Linked DNA regions of Notamacropus eugenii. The protein of the gene in region 1 interacts with the protein of each later gene in a biochemical or structural test. Links are inferred from orthologs where the notes say so. Each region holds a gene or a part of one and is shown on either strand. Other genes may lie near its edges.

What was found.
Region 2: the proteins of SATB1 (region 1) and PIAS1 form a complex in vitro, tested with the Homo sapiens proteins (2 studies listed by BioGRID, with this or other methods). The link is inferred for Notamacropus eugenii from reciprocal best matches to the Homo sapiens genes SATB1 and PIAS1.

What each region holds. Positions count from the first base shown.
Region 1 is NC_092874.1:35,635,331-35,643,383, forward strand, and holds the start of SATB1 (DNA-binding protein SATB1), read left to right. Parts: upstream 1-4,966; 5' UTR 4,967-5,084; intron 5,085-8,053. UniProt on the Homo sapiens protein: Crucial silencing factor contributing to the initiation of X inactivation mediated by Xist RNA that occurs during embryogenesis and in lymphoma.
Region 2 is NC_092872.1:131,061,251-131,068,324, forward strand, and holds the start of PIAS1 (E3 SUMO-protein ligase PIAS1), read left to right. Parts: upstream 1-3,986; 5' UTR 3,987-4,069; coding exon 4,070-4,093; intron 4,094-7,074. UniProt on the Homo sapiens protein: Functions as an E3-type small ubiquitin-like modifier (SUMO) ligase, stabilizing the interaction between UBE2I and the substrate, and as a SUMO-tethering factor. Catalyzes sumoylation of various proteins, such as CEBPB, MRE11, MTA1, PTK2 and PML.

The DNA.
Region 1 (8,053 bases):
TTTTCCTCGAATCCCTTCTTCATTGGATGGTCAGGATATTCTTTCTTATGCCTATATCACTCCTTTACCAGAAACAAAACAAAACAAAAAACTCATGACTTGTATAAAAGGTCAAACTCTACCTGGAATCTGTCTACAACTGGAGGCCATCCTAATTTCCCAGCAATAACTCCTACTGCTCCCTTCCATGAATGTTAGACTCCAGCCACACCTGATTACTCTGTCCCTCCAACATCGACAGCATTCTGATGCCTTAGCTCAGCCCTCTCTCCCTTGCCTGGAATGCCCTCTCTCCCTGTCTTTGCCACTCCATTGCTACCTCTTCTTTAAAGACCCACTCAAACCTCACCTCTTCCAGGAAGCTCTTTCTTGACTGCCCTCTGGTAATGAAATGACCCTCCTCCACAAACCTCTTATAGCTTTGTTTGATTAACTCTCACATGCACTTGACATAGTATCTCTGAGGTGTTTAGACTTTACAAAGATACGATTGCTCATTGAGATCTGGAAACATGTGCTCTAAACTTTGTATCTGTCCTATCACAATGCTCTGCAGAACAGTTACTTTGTAAATGTTAACAATTATGGCGTATTGATGCATGGAATTTTTTTATACTATTTAGAATGGACTTTCTTTACAAAGTTATTTTTCAAAGGCAGACTCTGGGGAAATAGGTGTTTTTCAGGCATAACTACTCCCTTGCTTGCTCCAGTTTTGACACTTAGTAGCTCCTCCTATATAAAATGGGTATATACAATAGATGCTTACACAAATTATCCCAAAGGATTATTGTGGAGAAAGTACATTGTAAACCTTAAAGTGTGATTTAAATGTGAGTTATGAATTGTTTTGACATACCCACAATCACAGTTCAGCCTTTCATTATTCAACCTGGGCTACTGTAAATCTTCCTAACTAGTCTCCTTGCCTTAGGATTCTTTCCCATTCCAAACAATCCTTTATACAGCTGTGGTTCTGACGATGTTACTCATCTCCTCAAAAACCTTCCATGCATCCCTATTACCTGTACAACCGAAAACAAACGAGCCTAATATTTAAAATCCCCTATTCTGGAAAGCTAATCTGTTTTCCAGTCCTGTTTGATATTACCACTTTTACACATTAGTTATTCCAGTCACTTTGAACAATCAGCTCCACAATTTCCCCTTATTCTCTTCTGTTCCCATGCATTCACCACCTCACTCCTGGAACACATTGCCTCAACTGTGGTAGTTGAAACACTCTCAGGGTTTCAGTGGATGGAATAATGGGCCTGAAGTCAACAAGATCCAAGTTCAAACTAGCCTCAGACACATACTAGCTCTGTGTCTCTGAGTAAGTTATTAAGCTTCTGTTTGCCCCAGTTTCCTAAACTCTAAAATAGGGATAACAACATCTACCTGACAGGGTTGTTGTGAGGATCAAATGAGATTAATATACAAATCAAATTTGTAAAGCACCTATGTGCCAGGTGCTATATAAATCCTTATTGTCTTCCCCTTCCCTGAGATCTACCCACTCTCATCTGAAAGGGATCTCTGCCCTAGGTCATTCTTTTGCTTTTATTAAATTCTCCATTGTATCATATTTCTTTGACTTGTCTTTTATGCCTTATATTTGATTTTGACTTTGCATTGTGTCTTACATATCTGTTGTTGTTTAGTCATTTTCAGTTGTGTCCATCTTTGTGATGCCATTTGATTTGTTTGTTTTTGGCAAAGATACTGGAGTAGTTTGCCATTTCCTTCTCCAGCGCATTTTACAGATGAGGAAACTGAGGCAAACAGGGTTAAATGACTTACCCTGGGTTACACAGCTGGTAAGTGTCTGAGGCCCGATTTGAACTCAGAAAGATGAGTCTTCCTTACTCCATCCACTGTGCCATCTAGCTTAAGTCTTGCACTTAGTAGGTACTTGATTAATGTCCACCTTATTGAACTGCTTTACTCAAAAGAAATATTTCCCATATTAAGTTCTGGAATGTTAGCTAACAGTGAAGTAGAAATAAGTGGCTTATAAGTAATGTTTTGTATTTTTTTTTAACATTTCTCTGTTTTGTATTTCCATTTCTAGTCTTCAGAATGAAGAAGTTGTTCATAGGTCCATCACTATGTAGAAAAAAATCATTTATAGACTATTTTCCCCTTTCCATTCCATTTGGGATGTTATTCCCAGATGGAGAGGTTGGTGTTGGTTAGGCAGTTTGGTATTTTTGCATAATACAGGCAAAAAGACTTGATGTATCTGATGATTTGAGGAGGAGAGATTATTCCAAGAGCTTATGTCTTGTGAAGAAGGAAGTATCAGGTATATTATTCAAATGAGCATCCCACTTTATAATTTTTTAATGAGTATGATCCTCTATCTTTGGGGGTAGGTGTTTCTGTAGGAAATAATGATCATTTGAAAAAGTCCAAACGATGAATTTCAGCTCTTAATGCTTGTTGGGGGGGGGGGGGGAAGCATCCCCATAAAGCAGCATGGGAACTTAGACTGTCTGCTCCTCTGCCTTATTTAAATATCAGAGAAAACACAGTTTATTAGATTTGTCTGTTACAGCAGCTTCAAAGTTCTATCTGTTTCTAAGCAAAAGAAAAAAATAAAACAAACAATGAAACTGGCCTGCTATCGGGATTCTATTCACAGACACCTGGGAGAGAAGAACCCTGGGAGGTTTTTAGGAAAATCTGAATTCCTGACTTTCCAGGAACTAGACTATAAACGGTGCACAGGACTGGGAAGAATGAAGATGGGGCAATCTCCTTCCTACTCTCCTCCACAGTTTCCCTCTCTCTAAATACAATTATTTATGGGCACTTAATGGGAGAGCAAGCCTTGTGTGAAAAGAACACAAGTAAGTGTAGCTTCTAAAAATACACAGAGCAGCTTTTAAGCCCTTATTGTTGCAAACTGACATTTTGCAGGGCATGGCATAAACCTAACAAGTCAGATTCTTGCAAAAAAAAAAAAAGCCCAGAAAAGTAGACTTTTTTTTTCCTTCCTAAATCTCCTTAGCCTAAAAGTAAATAGTAATGACACTCCGTAGTCACACTCAATGCAAATTTCCCAAAGGGGGAAAAAACATGAAAATCAAAACAAAAAGCCAGCTCGTTTCCTCAAGTGGTTACGGGGCTTATTTGAGCGTTAAAAGCTGGCTTTTTCTCAGGCCCATCCTTTCCATCCGGAGCTTGCTCCCTAGCACCCTTCCTCGCCTGATTCCTGTCCTTGAAATATTGATCACTCTTTCCCTCTTGGTTTCCTTGCAAAACGGGACGCAGGCTCCCCTGTCCTTCTCACTTGGTTGAAGTGTACAGCAGTTGACAGCTAGGCATGTGGTGTATAAATATTGAAATAAATGAGCCGAAGGGGTGGGGGTGGGGGGACGGCCGGACGGACGAGCTGGACCCTCCCTCCACCACGTGCTCTCGGCAGGGTGCTGCTCTCCAGGATTGAGCTGCGAGTGGGGGTACAAGGCGAAGGGGGCAGAGGGCACAGGAAGAAGGGCCCAGGCAGTGGAGACTAACCCTAAGGGAAGCAAGAGGAGAAAGGGGAAGAAACGAGGAGCCCCCAGCCCCACCAAAGCCGGGAGATAAGCTCCATCTCCAGAGGCTGGGATGGGAGAGGAGTGTCTGCCTGTGTCTCTCACCTGATTTCCTTTTTCTCAAGCACACACACACACACACACACACACACACACACAGAGGCACGCGCACACACACGCACACATACACACAGAGTCAGCCCCCCCAAAAAAACAAGAGGAAGTCACAGCAGGGAACTAGGGCTGGGGGTCGGGGCGCTGGGAGGAGGATCAGACAGACACCGAGACGCTCCCTCACTTACCCCTCCACGCCTAGGGTGCAGGTTTCGCCTCAAACCTGCGGGCAGATCGCCCTCTGCCCCCCACGCCCTCTCTTTACCCTCTCCCTGCTCTCTCCTCATCTCCGGCTCCCCCCTCCCTGCTCGCCTGCCCCCTCCTCCTTTGACTCCCCTCCCCTCCCCTCCCCTCCGGCTCAGCCCGGGCTCGCAGCCTCCAGCAAACCTAGCCACGGAGGAGCGGAGCCGGGCGGTGGCGGCCGAGGCTCGGCCGGGCGGGCTGGAGGGCTCCGCACCGTAGACCCCGGGCGGGCGGCCGCAGAGTCTCCGCCAGGGGGAGAAGGAGGGAAGGGAGAGGAGGAGAGAGCGAAGGAGGGAGGGACCGAGACCTCGGCCCCGGGCGATCCAGACCCCGGCGCCCCAGACGCGCACCGAGCCGGCGGAGGTGGGGGCCGAGGCGGGGAGCAGTGGCGGCCAAGGCGCGGGCGGAGGAGGCAGAGGCAGCGGCGGCGGCGGCGGCCGCGCTGCCCGGCCCGCTCCCGCCTCCTCACCCCAGCCCGGGGGGCGGCCGGCATCCAAGGAGCCCTGGGACTGAATGCCCGGCGGCAGCCCCCAGGGCCGGCTCGCGGCGGGCTCTCCAGCTGGGGCTGCCCGCCGCTCCTCCGCGGACCCGGCCGGCTTGGAGCGCGGCCGGCGGCCGCAACTGCGGAGCGAAGCCGAGCCGAGAAGAGGCGAGCGGAGCGGAGCCGAGCGGAGCGGAGCCGAGCCCCGGTCCCCGCCTGCGCCCCCCGCCCCCGCCCCCGCCCCCTCCTCCTCTCCTGTCCCCCCCTCCGCTCCTTCCCCTCCCACTCAGGCCCTGCCTCCTCCCCTGCCCCCCCCGCACACATACACACACATACACACACACATACACACACACGCATACACACATTACCCTTGCTCTTCCCTCCCTCCCCCCCTCCTTTCTCCCTTGCTCGCTCGCTCGCTCGCTTCTTGTCTTTCTCTCCCCTTTGAACGCCCACTTCTGATGGGGGAAGAAGACAACTTGAAGTCAAGTTGCAATTAACTTCCGCGGCAGCCGCAGCCACGGGGGCAGCAGCAGCAGCGGCGGCAGCAGCAGCAGGAGCGGCAGCAGCAGCGGGAGCCGCCACCGCCTCCGCCGAGACACCCGGGAAGCCTCCGGGGCTGCTGCCCCGCACTCGTCCGCCCGCCCGCCGCCCGCCAGCCCTCCCGCAGCCGCCGCGGCCGCCGCAGCTCCCATGCCTGAGTGAGTTGGCTCTCGTTTGTTTACTCCTTCCCTGGGCCGTGTGCGGTGTATGTGTGTGAGGAGGTCTTTACAAACTTCTGCTTCGCAGCCCCCCAGGCGGGCGCCCCCCGTGCTCGGGCTGGCCCCTTGGGGCTTCCTCCCTCCCCTGCCCTCGGGCCGGGAGCGTTCTTCACCCCCCGCGCCTCCTGGTTCGGGCCCCGAGCCCCCCACCCCAGCATGGGCCGGAGGGCAGGTGAAGGAGGCCAGGAGGACTGATTGGGGAATGCCATTCATTCCCTCTCGGGGTGTGGGGATGGAGTGTGATAGTCAGTCCTCCCGACCACAGCAATCACACACACACACACACACACACACACACACACACACACACACATACACGCGCGCGCGCCCGAGCACACACACACACACACACACACACACACACACACACACACACACACACACACACACACACACACACACCTGCTTGGTACCCGAGGTAGACATAGGTATTTGAGGGGGGAAGGTCCCCTCGTGGAAGTGGAGAAGAGCCAGAGAGAAAGACTGGAGTGCGGGGTGGGGGGTGTCGGTAGAAATTCGAGGTGCCAGCTAGGCACTGCCCGGGAGCATCCCGGCCCAGCCCAGCCTGGCCCGGCCGGGAGAGCGGCGCCGGTGGATTGGCCTGAGAAGTTTGTGGCAACTTCTCCATCTCCCGAGCCCGAGCCGAAGCCGCCGCCTCCGCCGCCGCAGAGCCGCGAAGTTGCTCGCAAGTTGTTTCTAAGGAGTTGCGGCCGCACGGCAGTGGCCGTGACCGTGGCCGTGGCTGGGCTGGGCTGGGAAGGGATCACGGAAGGTAGGGAAGGAAGGTGTGCGTGAAGATAGAGGAGGGGATCCGAGGGACAGCACGCCTCGCTTCCTGGTCTTTTACCACCCGGTCGGGCCGCGGTCCTGACGGGTTCGGTAGTGTGGGCATCCGTGCCTTCTCCTTGCCCTCGGGACACCAGGACCACCTTAGGCACCGGCTTCCCCTCTAGCATGGCCTGAGACGTAGTGGCGGAGCATCTTGGACCCTCGGCACGACCTGATGTTGGGCAGCTAAATCTGAGGGTTTAGCAGAGGAGAGAGAGTGAGCTGCAGGGACAGTAGCAGGTCGGGGAGATTGGGGAGTGGGGACTGAGGTTTCTGGGCGCAGGAGCAGGGGGCAGGGGGGCGGGGAGAGGGTCAGACTGACCAGAGAAGGGGGAGGGCAAGGAAGAGCCTTCACCACTGAGCCACAGCTGCCTGTGGCCTGGACCCATCTTAACCTGGGCATTGAGAGTTAAACTTACAAGTATGAACCACAGAGTCGCATCACTAAATGCCGGAGGTTGAGACTTTGACCCTTGCGACCTTCCTCGGCTAACTTTCTGCAGCGTTCCAAAGGGGTTTCCAGGGAAATGATCTGTGACTGAGACTCCAAAATGATTATAAGAGAAGGGGGAGCAGAAGGGAGGGTTGGGAAGACCTTGTAAGAGTAGAGAGATGGTCTGCCCCAATTGCCCTGGGTTCCATATATACGTCTTTGGAGGCCAGCAGGGATGGGGAAGAAGAGAGGAGAGAGAGAGGAGTTGGTGAAATATGACCAAAGGTTTAAGTTTTATCCTCGGCAGCACCTGAAACCTAAAGTACTTCTGTTGCAGAGGAAGCTATCCCACTGAAAACTTTACTGAATTATTACGTTGCCCCTTTAAACTGAACTAAGTAAAAGATGGCCGAAGCAAATGTCAGATATATTCTCTCCAATCAAGGGCAATTCTTATTATGCAAAGGATGCGTAATTCTAAATTCTAGGATGTTAAGGTTCAAGTATAAGATCTAATAACAGCTCTTTCTTCTGTTCCATATTACCAGTGATATGATTTAGCTACAGTCCTTTCTTCTGTATATTATTTGAGTAGTACAGTAGTACATTCATATACTGTTTGCTTCAATCTGCTGGCAAGCATTAGCATTCAGGCTTACATTTTTGACAAATGTGCAGACAGGAATAACATGAATAGGCATCTTAAATATTAACAACCTAAGCATCTGTTATGAAACAAATTTAATATATTTACTCTGTTTTTCTCACATTGTTAGGAAAGGTTATAATAAGTGCATAATTTCAACTTTAGTTAGCAGAAGTAGCTGGTTGTATCTTTCACTACCTCTGCAAGGGTTTAACACAATCACTAGACATAAATACTTTAATTAACTTGGTTAGGCACATCATTAAATAAACTTTCAGTAATGTGCCCATCACATACAGACATAGCTGTGGTAAAATATGTATCTTATAGGCAAATGTTTTTTAATGCCTATACATTTTTGTAAATACAGAATGTACATTTATTCCTCATTTCAGTTTGACACTTATTACTTCACATTTTTTCTAATGGAAACAATATTTTAAGCACAGAGTTGTGCAGTCACATGTAATATATAATAAGTAAACAGTAGCTATAAAAAAGAAGAAAGCATTGTTATGTTTGACTACAGCTAGAATCAGGAGAAATAAAATCACTGTTAGGATTTGTGTTCCTTCCCGAATCCTGAATACAAGTGATGGATGAAAAAGAAACCAGGGAATGAAGGGTTTTCCCCTAAAGTAGTGGCTTGAAAAGAAAGAAAGATGGAAGAGAGATAGAAAAGCAAAGACCTTCCAAAAGCCTTTATGTTTTTTTTTTTTCTGGAATCAGTGCATTCCTTATACTTTCCCCATTAACCAAGATATGTAATAATAGTTTCTTGTTTTTTTTTAAAAAAGATTATGGAGACAAAAAGCATTCAAAAATAATGCCTTTTGTTCAGTTGTTTTAATAAATTAACCCCTTCTTTATATTTGTTTTACTGATGATCATTGTAAAATGAAGTCATTAGCTCCTTGGTTTAACCAGTTTTAATCCTGTAGTCTTTCGAGTGGCATATATCTGTCGCACAAAAGGTATAATGCCAGCTATCTGAACTTGTGA
Region 2 (7,074 bases), on another chromosome or scaffold:
GTAAACAACATTCCATCTGTCTCCCCCATGCCTTTTCTACATACAAGTGGTCCCTCATGTCTGGAATGTACTCCTTATACCTCTTAGAATCCCTAGATTCCTTCTGAACTCAGGTGTCATTTTCTACATGAAGTCTTTCCTGATTCCCTGCAACTAATACTCTATCCCTGTTAAAATTACTTTGTATTTATTTGTCCCTGAACAGATTGTATACTCCATCCCAGAATGTAATCTCCCTGATGAGAGGAACTTTTCCCTCCTTAGCATTCCCAACATCAAGAGAAAGAAAGACAGAAAGACAGAGAGAGAGAGAGAATATATAAAGCACTTACAATGTGCCAGGCCTAGTGCTAATTATTGGGGACACAAAAGCAAGCATGTAAGACAAGCCCCTGCCCTCATATTGTAGGGGAACATAACATAAAAGTGGGAGTTGGAAAGGGGAGGGTGTTAAGGATGATGGTAGGAGTGCATTGGTTTCTATTAAATTTGGGTGGAACTGAATTGAATTATTCAAACGATTTAAAATCCTCCAATGGGTCATCTATATTTTTTTATATTCTGAAAAATTTAGATTATGAGTTTTAGTAGCTCTATTCTGAGCTTGAGTAGTTCTGAATTTCTCAAACACTCTTATCTAAATGAACTCCTAATTTTCACTATGGCACAGAGGTGTTTATAAATTTTTACAGAGACTTTTCATAATTTTACCTCAAGAACAAAAATATCCTAGAGGTATTTTTGCTTTTGTACTCTGTCAAGAGTCCATTCCACTATCAGATCCCTCCACGAAATCGACCTCATAAATACCTCTGACATCAGGTAGAATTTCTGAGGTCTGCAGACCACGGCTGTTACTTGTACTTATTTTGTGTCTTTAAAAAGTGCAGAACTTGCATACACCTCCACACGTCACCCTATAAGTGGGTCACCCTATTGCTGTGGGTGTAGGGGTTATCTAATATTGTTCAGATCGACCTCCTTCCTATTGGCTCTATATCTAAGGGAATGACATCATGGAGAGAGAAGCTCCAAGGGTATACATTGATTCAATTCAATTCCATTGTTGGAGTGCGAAGCCAACTATGAGGTCAGGCCTTCAGAAGAATCGTGCATTAGCTGTGTTTGGAGATTCACTGTGAATGAACAGGGACATAATTCAATATGCCAAGAGTAAGGAGACCTTGCACCTGGCAGTGCAGGTGACATGTCTTTCTGCTATGTTGGGATTTCAGGGATAGCAAGGAAAGACCCAGGCTTACTTTTCCTTATCAATCAATTAACATGTCCAATATTGTTTTAACTTGGAATAAAGCTTTCCATTCCATAATAGAAATAAGGCCTAAAATGCCAGACTGCTGAGAAGATACCATTGTGCTTATACTCTTGTATAGTAATGTGTCAATGACTATCTCTGCAACTATTAATGCTATCTTCTTGTTAAACTAACTTTTATGTAACTTTATGTAACTATGTAACTTATGTAACTTTTATGTAACTTTATCCATATGTTTGTTATATTCCCGCCCTCCCCCAAGTAGAACATAAACTTCTGCTTATAGGAATTATTTTGTATCTCTGCATCTTTGGAGGACCATCTCTTCCACAGCTTCCTGGATCACCACTTCTTGCCCACTCCAGACAGGCCCTTGAATGAAGGAGTTCAAAACCTGGGATCCATGCATAGATTTTAGGGAGGGTTTATGGGGAAAATACACATTTATTTTCACTAACTTTTAAGTGAAAGTTAGCATTTCCTCTAATTACTAATGGGCAGCTAGGTGGTGAAGTGGATAGGACAATGGGCTTGGAATCAAGAAAGCTCATCTTTATGAGTTCATATCTTGCCTCAGACACTAGCTGTGTGACCGTGGGCAAGTCACTTGACTCTGTTTGCCTTAGTTCTTCATCTGTAAAAGCTAAAGAAGGAAATGGTAAACGATTCCAGTACCTTTCCCAAGAGAACTCCAAAATGTGGTCATACGCATTGGATATGACTGAAAAACCAATTGTTAATATAGGCAACAAAACATTATTATAAGACAGGGTGCACATAGGTTTCATAAGATGGCCAAAAGGGTCCATGACACCAAAAATATTAAGAACTCCTGGCCCAGAGGAAATTCTGCCAAGTGATTCCCCCTCTCTCCTATCTAACTAGTGACTATTTTAGGAAAGCCCTAGTTAAGATTCGACTCCATCCTCCCCTTCTAATTCCTAAAGTGTTCTGCTTCCCCAGTAGAATATAAGCTCCTTGAGGGCAGGGAGTAGTTGTTTTTTCTTTGTTTTGTTTTATTTATTCCCAGGATTTAGCACAGGCCTTGGCACATAGTAAGGATCCAATAAAGGCTTTTTCATTCATTTGTTCTTTGTACCCCCATTGTGGAACATAGTGCTTTACATATATTTGATGCCTAATAAGTATTTATTGATTGTTGAATGACATTGGCAAAAAGTTAGCACAGAAAGATTAAGAAAGAGCAGAAGCAGCGTACTGGCAGAAGAGATTTAAGACCAGAGAAAGGGGAAAGGGTAATGTAGGGAAAAACTTTGACTTCACAACAACAAAAAATTCACTTCAGACGTTTTTGTAGAGAAACTTCTCTGGCTTCCTTCTAGCCCTGGCTAAAATCCCAAATTCTACGGGAAGCACTACCTAATCTTCTTTAATCCTAGTGCCTTCCCTCCATTGATTATCTACAATTTGTCCTGTATATGCCTTATTTGTACATAACAGTTTTCCTGTTATCTCCCCAATTAGGCTGTGAGCTCCTTAGGAGCAGGAACTTTTTGTCTTTTTTTGTATTTCCAGCTCTTAGCATGGTGTCTGGTACATATATAAGCCTGATAAATAGAATAGCTTAATAAATCCCATTTCGAGGATTGTGGAGAACAGAAAAGGTGTATAGGTAGAAAAGGATTATCAGACAACACTCCTGTTCCCCTAAAATATCTCTTTGGTATGACTAGACACCTTCCAGAAAAATTGAAATAACAACAGAAAACAGCACAGTGTTGTCAGGTCTTTGGCACTCCATTTGGGGTTTTCTTAGCCAAGATGGTAGAGTGATTTGACCTTTTCTTCTGGAGCTCATTTTACAGATGAGGAAACTGAGGCAAACAGGGTTAAGTGACATAGCTAGAGTTGAAGGCTGGATTTGAACTCCATCCTTCTGACTTCGGGTCTGGTGAGCTAGCCACTGTACCACCCAGCTGGCCCGGAAAGCAGCGTGGCATGATGTGTAATTAAAGGAGAAGTAGGCAGGTGCACAGGCACTAAGTGGAAAACAGCTAATGTAGTCAGAGGCGGTGAGTCTGCAATCTGAAGATCGAATCCCGCTGATACAATGACATGCCCCATCTTTCACCTGCGATCTGACTAGCCCTCCTCACTCGGACATTCGGGATTGTCCAGCCTACAGTCGATTCTACAAGGAGTTTGCCAAGCACCCACTGCCTAGTCGTGCAAAGGCATTAAATGGAAGATAACTGGAGACTCCCACAGAGCTCCTCGGGGCAGCTCTGGACAGAGCAGCGGCCTGGGAGCCCCCCAAAGCGTGGGTTCGAGTCTCGCCTCTGGAGCGTGCTGGCCGTGTGACCCCGGGCGGGACCCCTCCCCTAACAGCGGGAGTGACCCAGAGTGGGGAAGACTCCAACGTGCGCGAAGCCCTCCCCTGCGGACCCCTGAGTGCGGAGGGGTCACTGATGCTCCCTTCTGGACACCATTGTTATTCTAATGGGATTCCTCGGGTGGGGGTGGGGGGACGGGGAGTGGCGCTCAGGACCTACCCTCACCCAGAACTGGCTGATTACCTGGGGGGCGGGGCGGGGCGGAGAGGGGAGGGGGGAGTAACTGTCAAACCAGTCCTCTTGGCGCCATTATTTAAATAGTACGTGCCACACTCCTTGCTGTGCGTCCAGGGGGCAGGGCTCCGAACGCATTGGGAGGGTCCGGGAGGTGGAGGGAAAGAGAAGGGGCAGGAACAAGGGCGGGGCCAAGCGAGGGGAGGGAGCAGGACTAGCCGCGGCCCCCGGCGGGGTTCATTGCGCCTGCGCTGACAGTCGCAAGATGGCGGACAGTGCGGAACTAAAGGTAAAGCGCAGCTCGAATTCACTTCTAATATTCGGCCGCGGAGACGGCGCTGCGTGTGCCGAGGGGGATGGGGCTGAGCCCCGGGGCCCGTCCGTACCCGGCACACCTGAGCCTGGAGTGGGGGAGCGGGGTGGGCTCGGGCCTGGCGGAGGGGGCCGGGCAGCGGCGGGCCGCGGGCCCCGGGCGGCTCGGGGGCGCTGACGGGTCCGGTCCCCGGCGTGTTATTGTTGTGGGCGCCTCGGGCGGGGGTGGCCGGGGAAGGAGGCGGGCAGTCGGAGAGCGGGGGAGCTCGGCCGCGGCGCTGCCGGCCCTCCTCTTCCCTCCCGCTCCCGGGCGGCCGCGGCTCGGGGGCGGCGGGTCCGGCGGGGGTGGGTGCGGGTTTGGGGAAGCTCCCCACCGCTTCCTCTTCCTTCTTGCCAGCCCCGGGCTCCTGTCAGGAGCTCGGCTGCGGCCCCTCTCCCCTCCCCCGGGGAACTTGTCTCCGGCCGCCCCGCCCCTCTCCTCGCCTCCCCCTCGGCCCGGGACGCGGCTCTCCCCGGCCCGCCCGCCGCCGGAGGAGGCGCCTCGCTCGGCCCCCCTCGGATGCGGGGAAGCGCGGCGCGTGGGGGAAAAGGAGATCCTCCAGCAAAGTTTCGCGAGCGTCAGGCCCCGCGCCGCCCGCCCCTTCCCTTCCTCCCTCGGGCCGGGGCGCCCTGCCTGCTGCGGGCGAGCCGCCCGCGAAGGGTGCCTGCCTCCCGGGGGGAGGGGGAGACGGCGACGAGCCCCCCCCCCCCCCTCCTCCTCCCCCCTCCCCGGTCCCACGCGCGGTCGTCAGGGCGAGGTCAGCCTTTGGGGCGTGGGGTCTGCGCGCAGCATGATGGCGAGGCTCTTGAATGGCCGGTGTTTATATCCCCGGTTGCCTTTTGTTTGTTGGGGACATCTCGCTGGCCATGTTGGTTGGAACAAGCTCCTCTCCTCCTCCCCTCGCCAGCCCCCTCGTCAACAGCGCCTCCTCCGCGCTCCCCCTCCCACCTGTGTCAGTCCCTCCAGCTGCGCGCAAGGAAGGCGAGAGCTTGACTTTCCACGTCCCTATCTTCCGATAGAGCTCCCCACTCTTCTCTTCCTTCTGTACCTGCTGGGCATTTCTGCCCGGGAGCGAGTGTGGTGCTGCAGGAGGGGTGGGAGGGGGCAGGTGGGTAGGGGGTGAGTAACCGCTCGGGCTTGGCTTTGGAGGTGTGCGGCTCTGCTTGAATGGTTGTGTTTCAGCAGCTAGCCGTTCTTAAGTTACGGATCTGTCTTCTGAGGCGTCGAACCGGATCTTCCTTTTCATAGGCGGCTTTGCAAACCAAGGAGCCGGCACTGTCCTGGCTCGGGGAGGGGACTCTCCGTCAGAAAGTTAATATTGGAATGTATAACGGTAAAATCTTTGGTGGAACCCATCTTTAGAATAATTGATAGGGTGAATTCCAGTCTGAGGTGAGAGACTTAGGTTTTTCCTATAAAATTAATCTTGAAAAAGTCAAATTCTGCATTTGGGTGTTTTTTCCCCTGAGCAAATCCTTGCCAGAAAATAATGCCCTCCCCCTCCCCAAATTACTCGTCAGTATAAAACTTCCTCGTATATATTGAGACACTAGCTTTGAGTTGTCATTACATCCTTGTTTATCTCTGAACTTACATTGATTTGAAAATAACTGAGTTAGAAAATGCTTTATACTTTAAAACTTGGGGGAATTTGTATAATGGGAACATCGGAAAAGACTAATCAGGAAGTCTTAGGAATTTGAACATTTGGAGAACTTTTAACTGTAAAAAATATACTTGAGAACAAATTCTCAGACATTTTTCTATAGGTTTATATACTTGAAAATACAGTCAGTAGGTTGCTGTGATCTTTGCCTTCTATTCCTCATTTGGAAACCCTTTTGAATGTTGGCTAGTGAGTTCTTTTATACACGGATCACCGAATAAAGCAGGAAAGCTTGTGCTCTCTAGATTGTCACCCTTGATGCTGTCCTAAGAAGCTAGTATGGAAAGCACATGCTGGGGAGGTTTCCTTCTTTGTTCTTTCCCATTTTAAGAAAATGCCTTTGGGGATACAGCAGATCCCTGGTGTGATTCCTGTTAGGTGAAATCTCTATTTACAAAAATTAATCAGTATTATTAGATTGAAGCTAAATACCTGAAAAGGAACTGTCATTTACACACTAAAAGCAAGGTATAAAATCTCTCCGCAGTTCCAGATAGAAATTTCAGATTAATTTTGTGCCAAGGAATTGTTGGTGCCATGATGCCTCCATTGTTTAATTTTAAGGAATTGTTAGGATAAACTCCATGTCATTGTGAAATATACAGGAGCCTTAAAAGTTGTAAATGCTTAAGTGAGGTAAATCACACAGACAAATCATATTAATATTTGATGATAGTTTAATTTGTCGACATTTTGGGGACTATCCAACTGTGGTGTTCCTTTCAGTGAAAGATTTCTGTGAATTGAAATTTAAACTACTTCCGGAAGAAATCTTGATTTCTTTTTAATGCTTGAGTTTGAAGAAAATATTTTCTGGTATTCTATTTTTTGAGAAAGTACAATTAAACTTATGACTTTCTATGATAAGTCAAGGGACTTTATTGGAATTCTGGACAAAACTACTTTATTAACAGAGTTCAAATTCTGAGGAGGTTTTGAGCCCAGTTCCATAGCTCACAAACCCACAGTAGATTTTGCTGTTGACTGTAGTCACTGGTTATTTTTCCACCTCTTTTTAGTGACCCCTTTTAACTTATAATGGACTTAAAAGATCAAATGGTTAAACCAGAGCGACCTACATCACCATCAATATTGGTATAATACAGGCTACAACAGTTCAGGATATTGCCAATAAAAATTAGATTACAGTACCACACATCATAATGAATCTTGTATTCACATTTGTTAATAAAAGGGCCAATCTTTCATTAGAGGTCACCCATAAAAGATAGTTGTAAAAATGTGGGAGGAG